Medicago truncatula: one gene and its partner. The protein of the gene in region 1 binds, or shares a complex with, the protein of each later gene. Links are inferred from orthologs where the notes say so. Each region holds a gene or a part of one and is shown in the gene's direction. Other genes may lie near its edges.

The links.
Region 2: the proteins of RNA polymerase II-associated protein 3 (region 1) and ruvB-like protein 1 are in contact, whole or in part, in a cryo-EM structure (PDB 9EQ2), measured with the Arabidopsis thaliana proteins. The link is inferred for Medicago truncatula from reciprocal best matches to the Arabidopsis thaliana genes TPR5 and RIN1. Residues at the interface, in NP_176039.2 of Arabidopsis thaliana: Tyr357, Glu360, Asn361, Arg364, Ser365; in NP_197625.1 of Arabidopsis thaliana: Pro74, Gln366, Ile367, Tyr368, Asp369, Glu372.

The regions. Positions count from the first base shown.
Region 1 is NC_053042.1:41,376,765-41,384,734, reverse strand, and holds the start of RNA polymerase II-associated protein 3, read left to right. Parts: upstream 1-4,710; 5' UTR 4,711-4,839; coding exon 4,840-4,842; intron 4,843-4,946; coding exon 4,947-5,033; coding exon of another isoform or gene 5,034-5,037; intron 5,038-5,435; coding exon 5,436-5,636; intron 5,637-5,897; coding exon 5,898-6,022; intron 6,023-6,227; coding exon 6,228-6,352; intron 6,353-6,453; coding exon 6,454-6,536; intron 6,537-7,712; coding exon 7,713-7,862; intron 7,863-7,970.
Region 2 is NC_053044.1:51,407,900-51,415,900, reverse strand, and holds the start of ruvB-like protein 1, read left to right. Parts: upstream 1-4,983; 5' UTR 4,984-5,139; intron 5,140-5,838; 5' UTR 5,839-5,881; coding exon 5,882-5,971; intron 5,972-6,209; coding exon 6,210-6,398; intron 6,399-6,472; coding exon 6,473-6,604; intron 6,605-6,724; coding exon 6,725-6,874; intron 6,875-8,001. Other genes in the region: transcription factor ICE1, read left to right, coding at 67-291, 1,519-1,689, 2,379-2,453. UniProt on the Arabidopsis thaliana protein: Proposed core component of the chromatin remodeling INO80 complex which is involved in transcriptional regulation, DNA replication and probably DNA repair.

The DNA.
Region 1 (7,970 bases):
TTAAATATCAAAATTCCTTCCTTAAAAAAATATTAAAATTCCTCATGTATTGATGGTATTAAAAAAAAATCCATATTTAATTTATTATGAGTCAAAAAAAGAATCATTGAAAAACATAATTTTTTTCCCTTTTATGATATTAATAGTTATAAAAATAGTTTTGGAAAAGTGACATTTTTTTTAAAAAAAAAAAAAAAAAACTTAATTAATTCTGAAATTAAAATCACACTTAGATTTGGAATGTGACTGGAGTAGACGAGGGCCCTGGTTGGATGCAAATGGGCCACGCTAGGTTGTTGTCAATAGTCCAATCTGCTTATTTGTGGAATTACTAGTGTACCTACTGTATACAAGTTCGAATATTAATTATGAGACTAATTACTATGGTGTAAGACGAATTATTAGAGTGGATTCAAAATGTGAAATATTGATGCATATTTCTCGGAGAGATACAACAAGTTTGGGATTGAAAGGTGAGGAGGTGAGAGTAATAGGTTGATTTTTAGTTATAGTGTTTCTATGGTTATGCGGTTTTCTTCCTTGCTCACTCTTTTTATTACATTCATATGATATGCATCCACTTTTTCAGACGAGACTCTAATATCACATTGATCTGGATCCTCACATATTATAAGATTAGTTGCTGATGTTACTTTTGGAGATGCATTGGGTTTGCTATCAATTATTGAATGAATGTGGGAATTGGATTTGAAGGAAGTCATTTTCTCTTTTGATTCTAAAGGCGTTTTGGACTCTTTTAATTCATTCATAAGTGCGTTACCACACCAAGTTAAGACCCATATTGCTCATAATCTTGCAAGGTGGTCATATATCATACAAATGCGTGACTGTTAGATAAATGTGTGTTATTTAAACAACTATTTATATAATACTTAAATTTATAAATAAAAGTATGTATTTATATAGCAACTGAAGTTTATTGAGAGTTGTCTATCATTAGATATGTTTTATGAAAGGAGATTTTGATATTTATTGGATCCATTTGATTGACCTCGTCAGAAAGGAAAAAGTTTTTGTCATTAAATTGATTAATATGATGATTTATGTTTTACCCATCCATTTATTATCCCCGGTTAGAGTGACCCTTCTCCAACTCTTTGAAAAATCAACACCTTTGTGAAAATTTGAATATTAAATAATTAATTCAATGATTTTTTTTTTTTATGAATTTTGATTTTTTTATTAGATAATTTTGTAATGTAGTTAAACTACCATGTTAGAGTAAATTATGTTCACACTTTAAAAAAAAATTAAGGTTAAAGTGTACTTTTCCCCCCTTAACTTTCAAAAACTTGCAATTTTGGCTCCCTAAATATAGAAACCACAATTTTGGCCCCTAAGATTTAGCCCCTTTGCATCTTTGGTCTTTTTGATCAATTTTGACTTATTCAACGCCTACGTGGTAGGCCACGTGTGTAATTAATTAATTAAAAAAATTTAAAAACCAAAAAATCAATTTTTAAATTAAAAAAATAAAAAAAATAAAAAAAATTGTTGTTTTGATACTTAGGAGGCCAAAATTGCAAAATTAATTCTTTTTATTACCTGTTATTTAAGATTAGAATTATAGGCTTGCCACCAAAACTTTAGAAACGGCTCTGCTTAAGTGACATTGCTGCTATGTTAGATGTCTTTATCAACTCATAATCTTAAAATTGTTTGTCTTAGTTTTCGACGACACCTGTCTAAAAAAACACACTAATCATACATGCTTTATTTTGGCATCAGATTTATAATCACATGTCTACCTTTGTATAATTGCATCTATTGTGATTTTTTATTTTTTTTGCCAAATTAAAAAATTTAAGTTTATGTGTTCACTAGAAAACGATTAAGTTTCTCAAATAATTCTCAAAGAGCAGCAATATTGGGAACTTATTTAAATTTGAACTCTAATTGCTATTTTTATTATTGATGAGCAATATTGTATTTTTATTAATAAAAATATGAAAGTATTGTTGAATAGTGGTGGTAAATGGTAGTGGTGGTATAGTAATGACAATGAGTGAGTGAAGGGAAAGAGAAATTCGAAAAATGGGGGGAGTGATGTGTGATTGATTGAATGTGTGAGTGATTGATTTATTGTTAGTTTTTTAAGATTGAGTTGAGTGGTTGAATGAACATGAAGATGATAAAGAAAGGGGCCCTGAGAGTGAGGTGTTGTACGTAAAAGAAAGAGTGAGGGAGAGAGGGAGATGCTTTTTTCATTTACTTGAATTGAATTGAAATGAAAGGCAAATAATAACACAAATACTACATAACAGTGGTGGCAATCATGTTGACAAGACCACTGCACCTCTTTTATGCAGACTACAGAGCTTGCATCCGTCATCCACGACCCTACTACTCTATCATTGTGCCGTGACTGTAGACAGTTTTCACTGTCTCTTCTTATTTGAGGTCTAACCATTGTTGTTCAACCTTATTTATTTCTAGGACCTGAAATTACATCCACCGTCACCCTAACCTAACCCAAACTTTAATTTCCCGAGAAAATGCATTCCCCACCCTCAAGACATAGCCGAGAGCCTGGCTATACTTTATGAGAGGAACGGTAGCAACACTCTCTCTTATTAGTTTAAATCATTGTAGATCTAGACTTTGAAAATTGAACCCACATAAAATGGTGGAACATACATGGGTTTTATCCAATGAAAGAGTGAATGTTAGAGAATACTCAAAAATGAGTGTTGTTAACATTCCTCACTTTACAAAATCAAAAGAGGACTTATCAAAACAAATTCAAAGTTCAAGTGTGCTTTGTTTTAGGATGGTAAACCATTCCAATGGGAGAGGCTTAATCGGCTGGATGCCTATTACGTACCTCCTTTGACAGGATATTTTTTTGGGGTCTTATCGGACCAAGTATCTCACTCAAGATCCTATTTTTAAGTGGGATCCACGCTCTTTGAATGTTAAAAATTTGATGTGTAATAATAGTATAATTTTTTTATAGTTAATTAGTGATTTGTGTGATATGTTGGGTTGAAGGATTGAGTAATTATACTCCTTCCGTCCCGCATTAACAGAGCCAAAAGCTCATTTCACATGTATTAAGAAAAATGTATAAATGAAGGAGAGAAAAATAGTTTTAAATGCACTTGTTAAGTATTAATGCATTCGAATGAAAAGTGGAATATATTGAATTGAAAATGACGAAATAGTATTAATTAGAGTTATAAAGGAAAAAAAATCATTAATAATATTGTATTAAAAAGTGAAATGTGTAACGCCCTCTTTGAACTATTTGTTTTATTTGATTATTTTATTGAGTTTAGAGTCTTTTTAAATAATTTATTTGATTTATGATGATGTGTGTTATTTTTGTGTTATAGGTTGGTGTTTTAGTAGTATATTATATTATATTATCTAGTGTAGAAATATATTTGTTATTTGGTGTAGAAGTATTTTATATATATATTAAAATAGAATATTGATATTTTGGGGGCTGATTTGGGAATTTATAAGAGTTTAAGAGAATAAGTGGAGTTAAGAGAAAATAGGTAGGTTAAGGTTATAAAAAGAGAAAAGTGAGAAGTCAGAATAGTTTTTCACGTACAACCAGTTTTTGGAGAAAGATGGAGAAAACCTAGAGAAGAGGAGGAACGAGAAGAGAACCTTGCAATCGATTTCTTAACGTAACGGGATGGAAACTTTGTTGCATGCTTTTCTATTCCTTACGTATTACTTATGAATTTACATGATTAAGTTGTTAATTGGATTTTTATGAGATACTTTGATGAGGCCTTCGTGCCAAAATTATTTTAGATGTTCGAATAAATTCCGCTGTGAATTATTAAATATTATGTTATTGAATTTTGAAGGATAATTAATTAATTATTCCGTTTATGATTTTAAGAAAAGAAATGTGACATTCCGTTTATGTAAATTACTCTGATTAAATAAATGAAATTTTTACGTTGGGAAAACTGGGTGTTACAAAATGACTCAGTTATTATGAGACGGATGAAGTATGTACTACTATTAAAAAATTATAAATGAATGATGTATTCCCGTAAGACTTATTTAAGTATTTAAAAATGGATGTCTCCAGCGTAGATGATTTTGTACACTTATTTTAAGACAAGTGTTTTTCTTGTTTGAAATATGTAAAACTGCTTAAAGATATACTATTTTATAGTAATTGAGATCAAGACGCATATTAACGTGTTCATCTTTTCGTTTTATTGGTAAAAGTTGATGAAAAGATAAAAATAAACTAATTAAATGAAAGGTAAATTGGAAGATTTTTTTTACATCGAAATACTTTTTTTATACAAGGACAAAATAAGATATTTTTTTTTATAATGTTCAATATTGTTGCTATTGTTATGTATTAATCTTATTTTAATGAGATTCAACTAATTTTTAATTTTTTTTGGGTGTTAGCCCTGCATTTCTTAGGGGAATTAAACCATAGCAATCTAGAGTTCGATCGTAAAATAAAAAAAACTTGATTAAGAATTGTTTCTTAATGAGTAAAAAAAAAAAACATTCAGCTCAACATAATGTATCCTAATAAAGGTATTCTTGAAAAAAAATAGGGTGCGTGAGAAACTGATAGTATGGAAAAAGTAATAGCGATAAAAAAATATTAGAAAGTTAGTAATATATTTTGGGCCTTGAGCCACGTAAACCATAGTTAGCCCAATATAATGTTTGGGCTTATTATAATTGGTACTTCTTCGCGAAACTTCTTTCTAAACATTCCATTACTTTACCCCCTTCGTCTCAAACTAAGCAATTTTTCCATAGTTCATACTTCATTGTAAGCACGCAGAACTGAACTTCATTTCACCGCTACGATCACATCACAAAATGGTACAGTTAATTAATTCTTCACGGTTCCATTTGATTTTAGCAACTTTAATACTTCACCGTTTCTTTTTCCTATACTTCTAATCGTTGATTTTTTGTATTCTCAGGATTTTCAGGGTTTCTTAAACGACTTGCAGGATTGGGAACTTTCTACAAAGGATAAAGCGTCCAAAACGAAGTCACATAAGGAAAATGTTGGTAATTTTATCTTAACCTTCTTGTTGCAATTACTATACATGTGCAACTTTGTGAGGAGTAATGAAAAGTGAGATTAATGTTTTGAATTAGTGTATCTTTGGTTTCACTTCTTGCGGTGGCCAAAATTGATTATGACATGTTTGATTGCTCTGGAGTAGAATTGATTTTTTCTCTCGAATTGATTCTACTTGAAGCTAGAAGTTGGAGTTTTTTATCCTAGAATTGATTTTTATTTACTTGGTTCTTCTCTTAACTTTCATGCTTACTTTATGTTTCAATGGTGTGTTGATGGGAAAAGGACCCTCTTTATTTTCCATATATATTGGTATGCTATATATGTATGTGCTTGCTTATGTATGGATGTATTAATTCATTTGTGACGTATTATATTTTCATAGAAATTCATAAAGGGTTCATCTTCTCGGAGTGATCGATCAATGGGTGTGGAGAATAGATCAAAAGGAGATACTATTGCTGTTGATCATGTGAGAAGTTCTTCAGCTCAGTATGATTTCTCAAGAAATAATGACGTGTTGAGTCGTGTGAGTAGCAGTTTGGCTTCTGAAGATGTTCCTGATGCTGCTTCTGAGAAAGACCTGGTAGGAGCTTTTTTCCCTCTCTTCTAACTGTTTTGGTCTTGCGGGTGGGGCAAATCAATTTGTTTGGATACTGCTAATACTGAAACCCTTTATATAACATGGGTCTAAATAAATGTTATTGGGTGGGAAATCAGATGGTCATGAACTGACATGTGTCCCGACAGATCATTATTTTAGCAATAATAAATAGATTATGGATTGATTTTTATGTTGCCGTCTTGTGTGATTCTGAAGATACTGCAATCCATCCGTCTATTACAGGGTAATGAGTTTTTCAAACAGAAGAAGTTTAAGGAAGCTATTGATTGCTATTCAAGGAGCATTGCCTTCTCACCCACTGCTGTAGCCTATGCAAATAGGGCAATGGCCCATATAAAGCTAAGAAGGCAAGATTGCATTTTGTCTTGAAAGAATTATAGCTTATTCATAAAATTTTCACTAAATTATGGTCTTTTACAATTGTGTGATCCTAAATATCAGAAAGTAGTTTTTCACGTACTGTCATGTGTTAATTGGTATATCACCTTACTGATGCTCGTAAAGAGTTTTTTGGCTAACGATTTTATGTTTCATTCCTCAACTATGTGTCAGCAGATTTCAAGAGGCTGAGGATGACTGTACAGAGGCCTTAAATCTTGATGATCGGTACATAAAAGCATACTCTCGGCGAGCAACGGCTAGAAAAGAACTTGGCAAAAATAAAGAATCCATGGAGGGTGTGTGAACTTAATATGCAAGTCATATACATATGTTTTTTCTTAATACAAAAGCATTCTGATATTTGAATTCATTAACCATCTATTTCCCTAAATTACAGATGCCGAGTTTGCCATGAGGTTGGAACCTAACAATCAAGAAGTCAAGAAACAGTATGCCGATGCTAAGTCACTGTATGAGAAGGTAAGCACACAAGTTTTTGCGGTATTATTACATGACTACTAGAAAGAAACGTGGTTTTAATACTTCATATTTTCTATTTTAATAGCTATATAGGCCACGAGCATTGAAAACAAGGGTTGACCGTTCGAGTTGGCGCAAAATTAAATTTTAGGTTCATCCATCAGTACATATAGGCCACGAGCATTGAAAACAAGGGTTGACCGTTAGAGTTGGCACAAAATTTAAATTTTAGGTTCATCCATCATTACATAATTGCATACATTGAGATGTAATCCCAAATCAAACGAGTTGATGTCTTAAAGAAAGATTTGGGATTAAAGGGGCTTAGATTTAGTAGTTAGGATGGAATAGAGAATTACAACATTAGAAACGGAACGAGGGATAATATACTTGAGAGCAGTGTTATTGATGCCGTCAAGACGCCACCGTCCTTCACAAATTGGTCAGGTTGCCATCGCTGATGTTTAGCAACATTGGTTTAGAGGAATATTTTGGGTAATGTAGAGTTACAAACTGCAAATGATACGATTTTAGATGATGAATGTTATATATAGAGATTTTTCTCCATGAAAACGAGTGATATATACTAGTCAAAAGTGTTTTCCTTAATTTTGAAGTCTTCTGTTTGTCAGCATAGATTCAGGCCTTATGGGGCAATTTTTTAGTGAAACCTGGTGTTACATAGCTCATGCCAGGAAAGGATTGTTTAGGATCTATTTAGGCAGCTTATATCTATTTCTTGCACTATGACCAAAGTTTCGAATGAACAAATTCAACATAGTTCAAGCGGCTGCCAGAATAATTTTGGGAATGCTAGAAAACATATTTGCTGCTGGATAAGGACGGGTTTGCAAGAAAATGGTGGAAAGAATCAGAGTGGAAACCGTATAAATTCTTTAAATCACCTTAAAAATTGGAGGGGCAGTCAAACAAAAAGGGAAATAAATGGGGATTTAATGGTCTGTTGGGCATAGTGGCTTTTGATATACCCGTCTCATGCCCTCAATTCAGGCAGCAATGGCTACTTCACAAAAACATGACATGACACTTACTTTATGACCAGGCTTCACGACGAGACACTAGGATACTTAGTGTCTATGTTCTTGTTTCATGTCTATGTTTTTCCTCACTTCTCTCTAGTGCACAAATTAAACTTTTAAAATTCCTTTCGTCCAGGAAATTCTACATAAAGCATCCAAAGCACTAAGAAACACTGTAGAAAAAGTGGCAAAGTCCGAGACAAAAGTTAATGGAAGCAGCAGCATCCACTCTGTTTCACATGGTACTAAAAAGTCAGGGCCAACTGAAGCTCATTGTCAAATAAAGGTACAAATAACTTGAGTTTTTAACAAAATGTTTAGATATATTGTTATCTCCATGGATGAGACAGATGTAAGATTACTTTGTTTGGTGTTCCTCATGCATAGTGTCCGG
Region 2 (8,001 bases), on another chromosome or scaffold:
AGCTCAAACAAGTTGAGTTATGCAACCCTCCATAATACAAGTTTATGTATTTCATTTTTATCACAGATGGACAAAATTTCAATACTTGGGGATGCTGTAAACTACTTGAATGAGTTAAAAGAACAAATTAATGATCTTCAAAGTGAGATAGCGTCAAGTTCTCCAAGATCATTTATGCCACCGCCTACAGGAACTCACATTATGACATCTACCATGTCAGCCCTTCCAGTTCAAATGAAAGAAAAGTTATGTCCTAACAATGTGTCAGGTCTTAAAAACCAACCAACAAAGGTACTTATTTACTTTAATAGAAAGTTCTTATTCCATATCAATAAATGCTTACTACACTCAAAATATACATTAATATGTAAAATGAAGACATTTCATTCACTGTTTTGTTGACATCATTAGGAGTCTTATATTTTGGATTTTTTTGGTGTATTTTGTGCGAAATATTACATACACACACGCGCGCGCCCACGCACACACATGAGAATTGTATTTGCGTTTTTGTTCACAATTACAAAGCGTGTAATATAACTTACTAAAAAATCTAAAAGATTGGACAAGACATGCAATTGATAACTATAATTGAAAACTGAAGCATGTATGAAACTTTTTTTTGTTCATTTTGGATACTTTCACTTGATATCTAAATTCGATAAAAAATATTTATAGAAATAGGTTGATTTAATTGTATTGTTGACCCCATATTTAACTAAATGTGAAATCATCCCTTTTTTTTAAAATGAATTTTCTAGTTCTTCTATTTTCACATTTGTTGTAGTTTTTGTCTAAACTAATACTTGTTGCCACAAAATCGATTATTTTTATGTAAAAAAAAAAAAAAAAAAATTACTCCAAAAAGTGATACTTTATCTTGGAATTTAACATTTGAGCAATAAACCACCACCCTAGGGTAACAAATTACCTATTTTGGGGGCATGAAATATATGTTGAGACTAAAATTGTAATAAATGTGAATATTGAAGGACTAGATAGTTCAATTTTAAAAAAGATGGACTACTTTTGTGAATTTGATTAAATAGAGAAACCAAAAGTGTAATTAAGTCAAACACTGTGTCAATGCCAACCACACTTAATTTTAGTGTAACAAATATTAGTTAGCAAAAAGATGAGCACTAACATAACCGTCTGTCCGATTTTCTATCACACTTAATTTTATAGATAATTTGATATGTATAATGATCAATATTTAAAAAAAAAAATGATTAGATATTATAAAAATAAGATTGAAATAAGCTCTTTTTATAGTATTAAATATCGCTCATATATTGTAACGAGGTTGTTCTTATTTTAAGGGTATTCAATTATTGTTTTAAAAATTTGACAATTTTTTAAATTAACAATACAAGTAAAATTATAAAAAGGATAAAACAGTTTAAAATAATGATAAAAATGAAAGGAAAAACCACCCCAAATAAACAGTTTATTCACTTTATATACATGTATAAAACAAATATATAAGTATAAATAATACTATGATGGTATTTGCAGGTAGATGTTAGGGTAAGGGAAGAGGGAATTGTCAACATCCATATGTTTTGTGCCAACAAACCAGGTGTTTTGGCATCGATTATGAAGGCATTGGATAGCCTTGGATTGGATGTTCACCAGGCTAACATAAGCTGTTTTAATGATTTTTCTCTAGATGTGTTCAAAGCTGAGGTATACATTTATTTTTCAATACTATACTTTATAAAATTTCTTATTCGATTACCATGTCATTTATTTTATAATTTCCATTAATTATTCTTTCAAAATTTATTTTAGATGCTAACATGTGATCATGAGAACAATGTAATGAATGGTGTACGATCTATCTATGGTAACTTGACTTTTTAAAGCATACCAACAATTATTTAGTTCAGAGTTGCACTTACATTTATGTTTTTTTGCAATAATTTGCGAACTTAAGTAATCATATGGATAATGTGGATGTTTGTATTGACTATCATAAAATTATTTTCTGAGATTATATGAGTAAATTTTGATCATTAGATTTATAATTTCAAGATTTACTCTTGTCATTCTTTGTTTCCATTATTCCATGAATGAACATTAAAGCTTTTTTACTTCTTACAATAAAAATATATCTTTTAAATGAGAAAAAATCTCAATTTTAATGAGATAATATTTACAAAAGATCTTTGTAAATAATACGAACTAGCGAATCATCTTTGCTTTTTTCTTTCGAAGAAGAATAATACGAAGTAGGTCAAATGTCTTATGAGATTTTTAATTGGTTGTTAATAATAAATATTTGGTGTTTGAATGTGGTGCTCACACATTATTAACCCGTCATTGTCATCCTAAGTTTTGTTATATTGATTTTAATTTTTCATGTTTCTTTTCAGCAACACAGCAAAGACCAAGAATTGACCCCCGTACAAATTAAAGCATTATTGTTGAAGGCATTGGATTTTCATTGAATGATGTGAGTTAAGTTATGGACAAATTCTATCTTTACAGATAAATTAGTTGCCTTTGTTGTAGCATGAGGTTTCTAAATTATTTTACATTTTTATTATTTTGTATTGAAAGTTATGCCCAAACCAATATCAAAATGGTTTAAAGCTTATGGTTTTGTATTTTTTTTTTTTATGAATTTGAGCACATCATACTTTATTACTTTGAAGTCATTGAATAAATTTTTGTTTGCCTCATTTTCCTGTTGAGTGACGCTAATTTTTATTTTTTAATTGGTCTCGTAATTGGACCAAAAAATAACCAAAGTTCATAAATTTGAGGCGTTGTGGTAAAACTCCCTAATATTGCGTTAAATAGATTGAATTGGTTATTCACGTTGAAGTTGCCTCTATTGTTTGCTATTCTATGATGAATAACTTATTGACCTCCTGAAATGTATTTGTATTTTAGGAAATGTCTTTTTCCTAACGACACATGAAAATATTCAATTTTTTATTTGATATTTTTTACCATTTTAGTGCAATCTTATATGAAGTTTTTACCAGTTTAAAGAAAAATGCTTTATGAGCACAATGATTAAATGTCACACTTTTGTTTTTCAAAATATTTTTACATTCTATGCAATCTTGCATAAAATCTTTACTAGTATGAGATAAGAATCATTTAGATAGAGGAGGATAATTAATCGATCTAAATTGAATTAAAGTACTTGAAATTTAAGGTAGTTGATCCAAATATGTTCAGATAATAATATGGTTTTGGCAATCAGTAAAGTAGATAGACCTCACAATAGAAACTACTACATGTCCATTAAACACTAACGACACTTCTTAGTAAAGTTGATGACAATATGGTCTTTTGCCGTGACATGTATTGGGGATTTAAACCATCAAAGTGGTGAATAATGTGAATATTAAGGAGTATTCTTTTTACACCATCCTAAGTTCCAATGCTTAATAACTCACATACATTTTTTGACTTGCTTACATCGTGCACCTTAGACATCGTCTAATTGGCGTGGAGAGTGCTTTGGAATCTCCATGGAGTTTCAATTGGAACCAATATCTTGTGATGTGAAAGGTTGAGTTTTATGGCCAATTTTTCAAGTCCATAGTAAAAGACCTTCACATGTATAATGATTTTATCAACTGATTTCAAGGAGGTGCTTTATATTTATTTACATGATAAAAGGCCTTCATATTTGTTTACATGATAAATTTGTAATCTATAATATAATATATATATATATTATCATATCTCTGTCCGATGGTCCACCTTTTAAAAAAAAATGTGGTCTACCAAACACATAATATCATAAGTGACTATCCTATCACTATTATATCCAACTTCTTATCATATCACTTGTCTATCATATCTTGTGTACCAAGCGGACCCTAATATTGAATTCTCTCGGTTGACTTTCATGTGATGCGTTACATAATTTTTGAAAGAATGTGATACGTTACATATCATGTGATACATTACATATTTTGATTATAAGCTTAATTTAAATTTTAGTCCCTATTTTTTCATCGTCCCTCTATTTCAAAATCTAATCGTTTTGGTCTCTCCACCATACTTTTGAACTAAAAGATCGATAATTTGACATGTTTTGAATGACTTAGTATATGATAAGATAATGGAGAAAGATAAACATAAATGAAATTGTAAGAAAATTTTCTTAAAACAGGGGAATTTGTTCTTAGTTTCATACTTTAGTCGTAATATATGTATTCTATTATAATAATCATTCTTTCAATTTTAACTTTCATAGGGGCGGTTATATAAGAGAAACTTTCATAGGGGGTATTATAACAATTTATAGAGAATATAGTTAACTTTTAAAATTGTTCTTTGAACCCTTTTAATTCAATGGGAGTGATTAGCCTTCTACATTTGTTTCAATCTCAATCCTCTATTATACCCACCCTCCTTTTAATCACATGCGCCGCAAAACTATCACAAAATCGAGTTTAAGTATGTTTCATTTAATCTATTTAAGATACGCATGTAAGACATAGTGTGTTTGGTTTGCAAAACAGCAAGTACTGGACAGAACAATACAAGATAGAACACTACAATACAAGGCAGAACAGCATAGAACAAATTTTTTATGTCATTGAGTAATTTTTTGTTTTATACGATTTTTGAGGGACAAAATGCTATTTTGGTATTTTAGACAACTTGTACGTGGGACAAAAAGTTGTGCTGTAGTTTGGTGAGGGACAAAAATATGAGTTTTTGTCCTGTCCCTTGCCTCCAGTTTTTCCTGTACCTGAAACAATTTTACAAATCAAACACTGGACAACTAGAGTTGTTCTATACTGTCCATCGTTTTTTAGCAAATCAAACGCACTCTGAAGGTACCGAGGTAAGACATATGACAATTATTCTTCAAAAAAGTTTTTTGTTTTTTTGAGAGGAACTAAACATCCAAAGGGTTGATATTTTAAATTAAAAAAATGAACATTTGTTTAATAAACTAACCCTCTCTTCTTTCTCGTTTTGTTTTACACTCTCTCTGCACTCTAAACATTTTCTTCTTTCTCTCTCTACCCTTAAACCTAGCCGCTACCGCCGTAAGAAAAAGCGATTCCGGCGCCGAGAGCTCGCCGACGGTGCACTCACGGAACCCTCTCAGCTCACTGGACAGCGATTACGTCGCCATTGCTGTAGCTACTTCAACAGGTTCAAACTTGTTCATTTCATCGCTTTTTTTTTGCTCTTTTTTTTTAAAATTTTTTTTTTTCTATCGAGTTTTAAGTTATAAGCAAATGATTTCTAGTTTCAAGTTTTTATTTTGTTTCTCTGTTTCCAACATATAGGATTATCATTCATAACAGCTAAATGTTTTAATTGTTAATTGAGAATTTGTTCATAGTTTCATACTTTGTTTGAGTTCTGTAATGCATTTTATCTATGAGTTCTTTGTCATGTGTATATTTAGAAAGATGAGGGAAAATATTAAAATTTCTGTTGAATTTTTGCAATATATATTTCAAATTTCCTATATGTCCATATGCAAAGCTTATGAACGTTTATTATAGTATTTACATCACAATTTGGTTGTTATTGTTGTGAGTTATACTTCTGATTTTAAGTCTTTAGGCTTTTTGTCGGGGTCTGAGAAGATAAAGTAGGCACAATTCTGCGTGCTCTATGGTTCTGTTTGTTTGCTGAGTGTATCTTATTGTAGTATTGTGAAATTATGTTAATTTGATAGTATTGTGATTTTTTTTTTGGGTTTTCTAAGGTATGGTATGAATTTTTTGAAATTGTTCAATAGAATCTGTGTCACTTGGTTCAATTTCAACTAGTGGCTCACTGATTTGCAATTTTGTCGCCCCTAGTTCTTTAAATGTTACTAATCCTATCTTTGTGTCTCAGTCTCCATTGCAAAGTGAAAACTGAAAACCTTATCTAGAGAGAGATGGAGAAGATGAAAATTGAAGAGGTTCAGTCGACAACAAAGAAACAGCGTGTTGCTACTCACACTCACATTAAAGGCCTAGGTCTTGAGGTTTGTTCTCTTCCTCAATTTAATAAGTTTTTTTTCTCTGTTTTCTGTGTGTGAAAATAATAGCTAAATTTGAACCTTAACAATAGATCCAAATGAGCACAGATTTTATGTGTTACACATGCCTGTTTGTTGCGGGTGAAACCAAACCCTTTTGCTTATTTCTTGCCATGCTCAAATGTTTTGAATGCTTCAATTTTAAGTTAACAACTACTTGTTTTTTGGTTTGGTTATTGTTCAGGTCAGTGGAAAAGCAGTGCCTTTTGCTTCTGGGTTTGTGGGACAAGCTGATGCAAGAGAAGCGTGTGGCCTTGTGGTCGACATGATACGCCAGAAGAAGATGGCTGGGAAGGCACTCCTTCTCGCCGGGCCCCCCGGAACCGGAAAGACTGCATTAGCACTTGGGATATGTCAGGAGCTTGGGACCAAGGTTTTGCACCGAAAATCATTCTTGTATTCTTTTGTTTCTGTGACGTTATAAGATTTATTTATACCACTTTGTAGGTTCCATTCTGCCCAATGGTTGGTTCGGAAGTATACTCAACGGAAGTAAAGAAGACTGAGGTTCTTATGGAAAATTTTCGACGGGCTATCGGTCTACGTATTAAGGAAAACAAGGAAGTATATGAAGGCGAGGTGAGTTCGCTGTGATTCACTTGTTAAAAATGGGAATCTGGGATTGGTTTGTTGACTACTTCGTCTGCTGCAATTTTTTTTATATCAAGTTTTTTTGATGTAATTTTGGTCCTGTGCAAGGTGACCGAGCTCTCTCCTGAAGAAACTGAGAGTATAACAGGAGGTTATGGTAAGAGTATTAGCCATGTGATAATTGGATTGAAGACAGTGAAAGGAACCAAGCAACTAAAGTTGGACCCCACGATATATGATGCCTTGATCAAGGAAAAGGTTTGGTTTTGCTGTTATTCTTTTCTCTTTTTGAAAGTTCATGTGTTTATATTTTATAGGGTAAATTACACTCACCTCTCTTGAGGTCTTCTTAAATAGCACTAACACCCCCTCTAGTTTAAAACTAAACACTAATCTCCCTTAATTTTTAATCAAATCTACAAACACCACCCCTGTCATGTAACACCGTTGGTTCTCTGTTAACTTAGCTTCCTTGTCGAAAAAACTACTCCCCCTACCATTCATCTATGCTTTACAATTTGCATACAACGCCAAACAATAATGGCCACGGTGCCACACCAGGCTGTTCAACGAACTTCTTTATACTCACATGCTTCATACTATTTAGTGGAAAATGGACTAATGGAAGGATTACATGAAATATAAAAAATAAATAAATATGGAAAAGGAATAACAATGATTATCTTCTACCTAGTGAAAAATGGATTAATGGAAAGAACTGAAATAAAACCTCAGCTTTTGAGGCGTGAAGTTTGATGCTCAACATAAAAAATATTCAATTTTAGGATGAAGGAAGTGATTGTAATTCACATCAACATAATAAAATTGGATGAATTGCTTAACGTGGCTTTTGCAGAATTGGAGAAGGAATTAGATAGATTGAAACTGAAATTCTAGGTTGAAAAAATAGATAAACCAAATTCAAGAGGATGAAGAATAATTAAGTGCATCAATCAAAGAAATCTAAACAAACCGATTGAAAATCTGAACTGAACTCATTAGTAGAATATATTGTTGAAATCATTGCAAGATGTAAAATCAAGAGAAATTTGTTAATTTAGAAGAAGAAGAAAAAGGTGGGGATTGATGTGAATTGAATGAAGGTGTGAAATCAGTCGTGGGTAGCCAAATTATGGTAGCTAATCTCTAAATTCTTGTCATGAAAATAACAGAAAGCTAACGGTGTTACATGAGAAGGGAGGTTAATGTTTATTTCAAAACTAGAGGGGGTGTTAGTGCTATTTAAGAAAACTTCAAGGGAGGTGAGTGTAATTTACCCTATTTTATAACTTTTTGTTTTATATTTTGGCGGGAACTGGGAAGTTATTTTCATTTTAAATCTATACAAATATTGGTGTCAAACATTCTACAGCTTTGATACATGA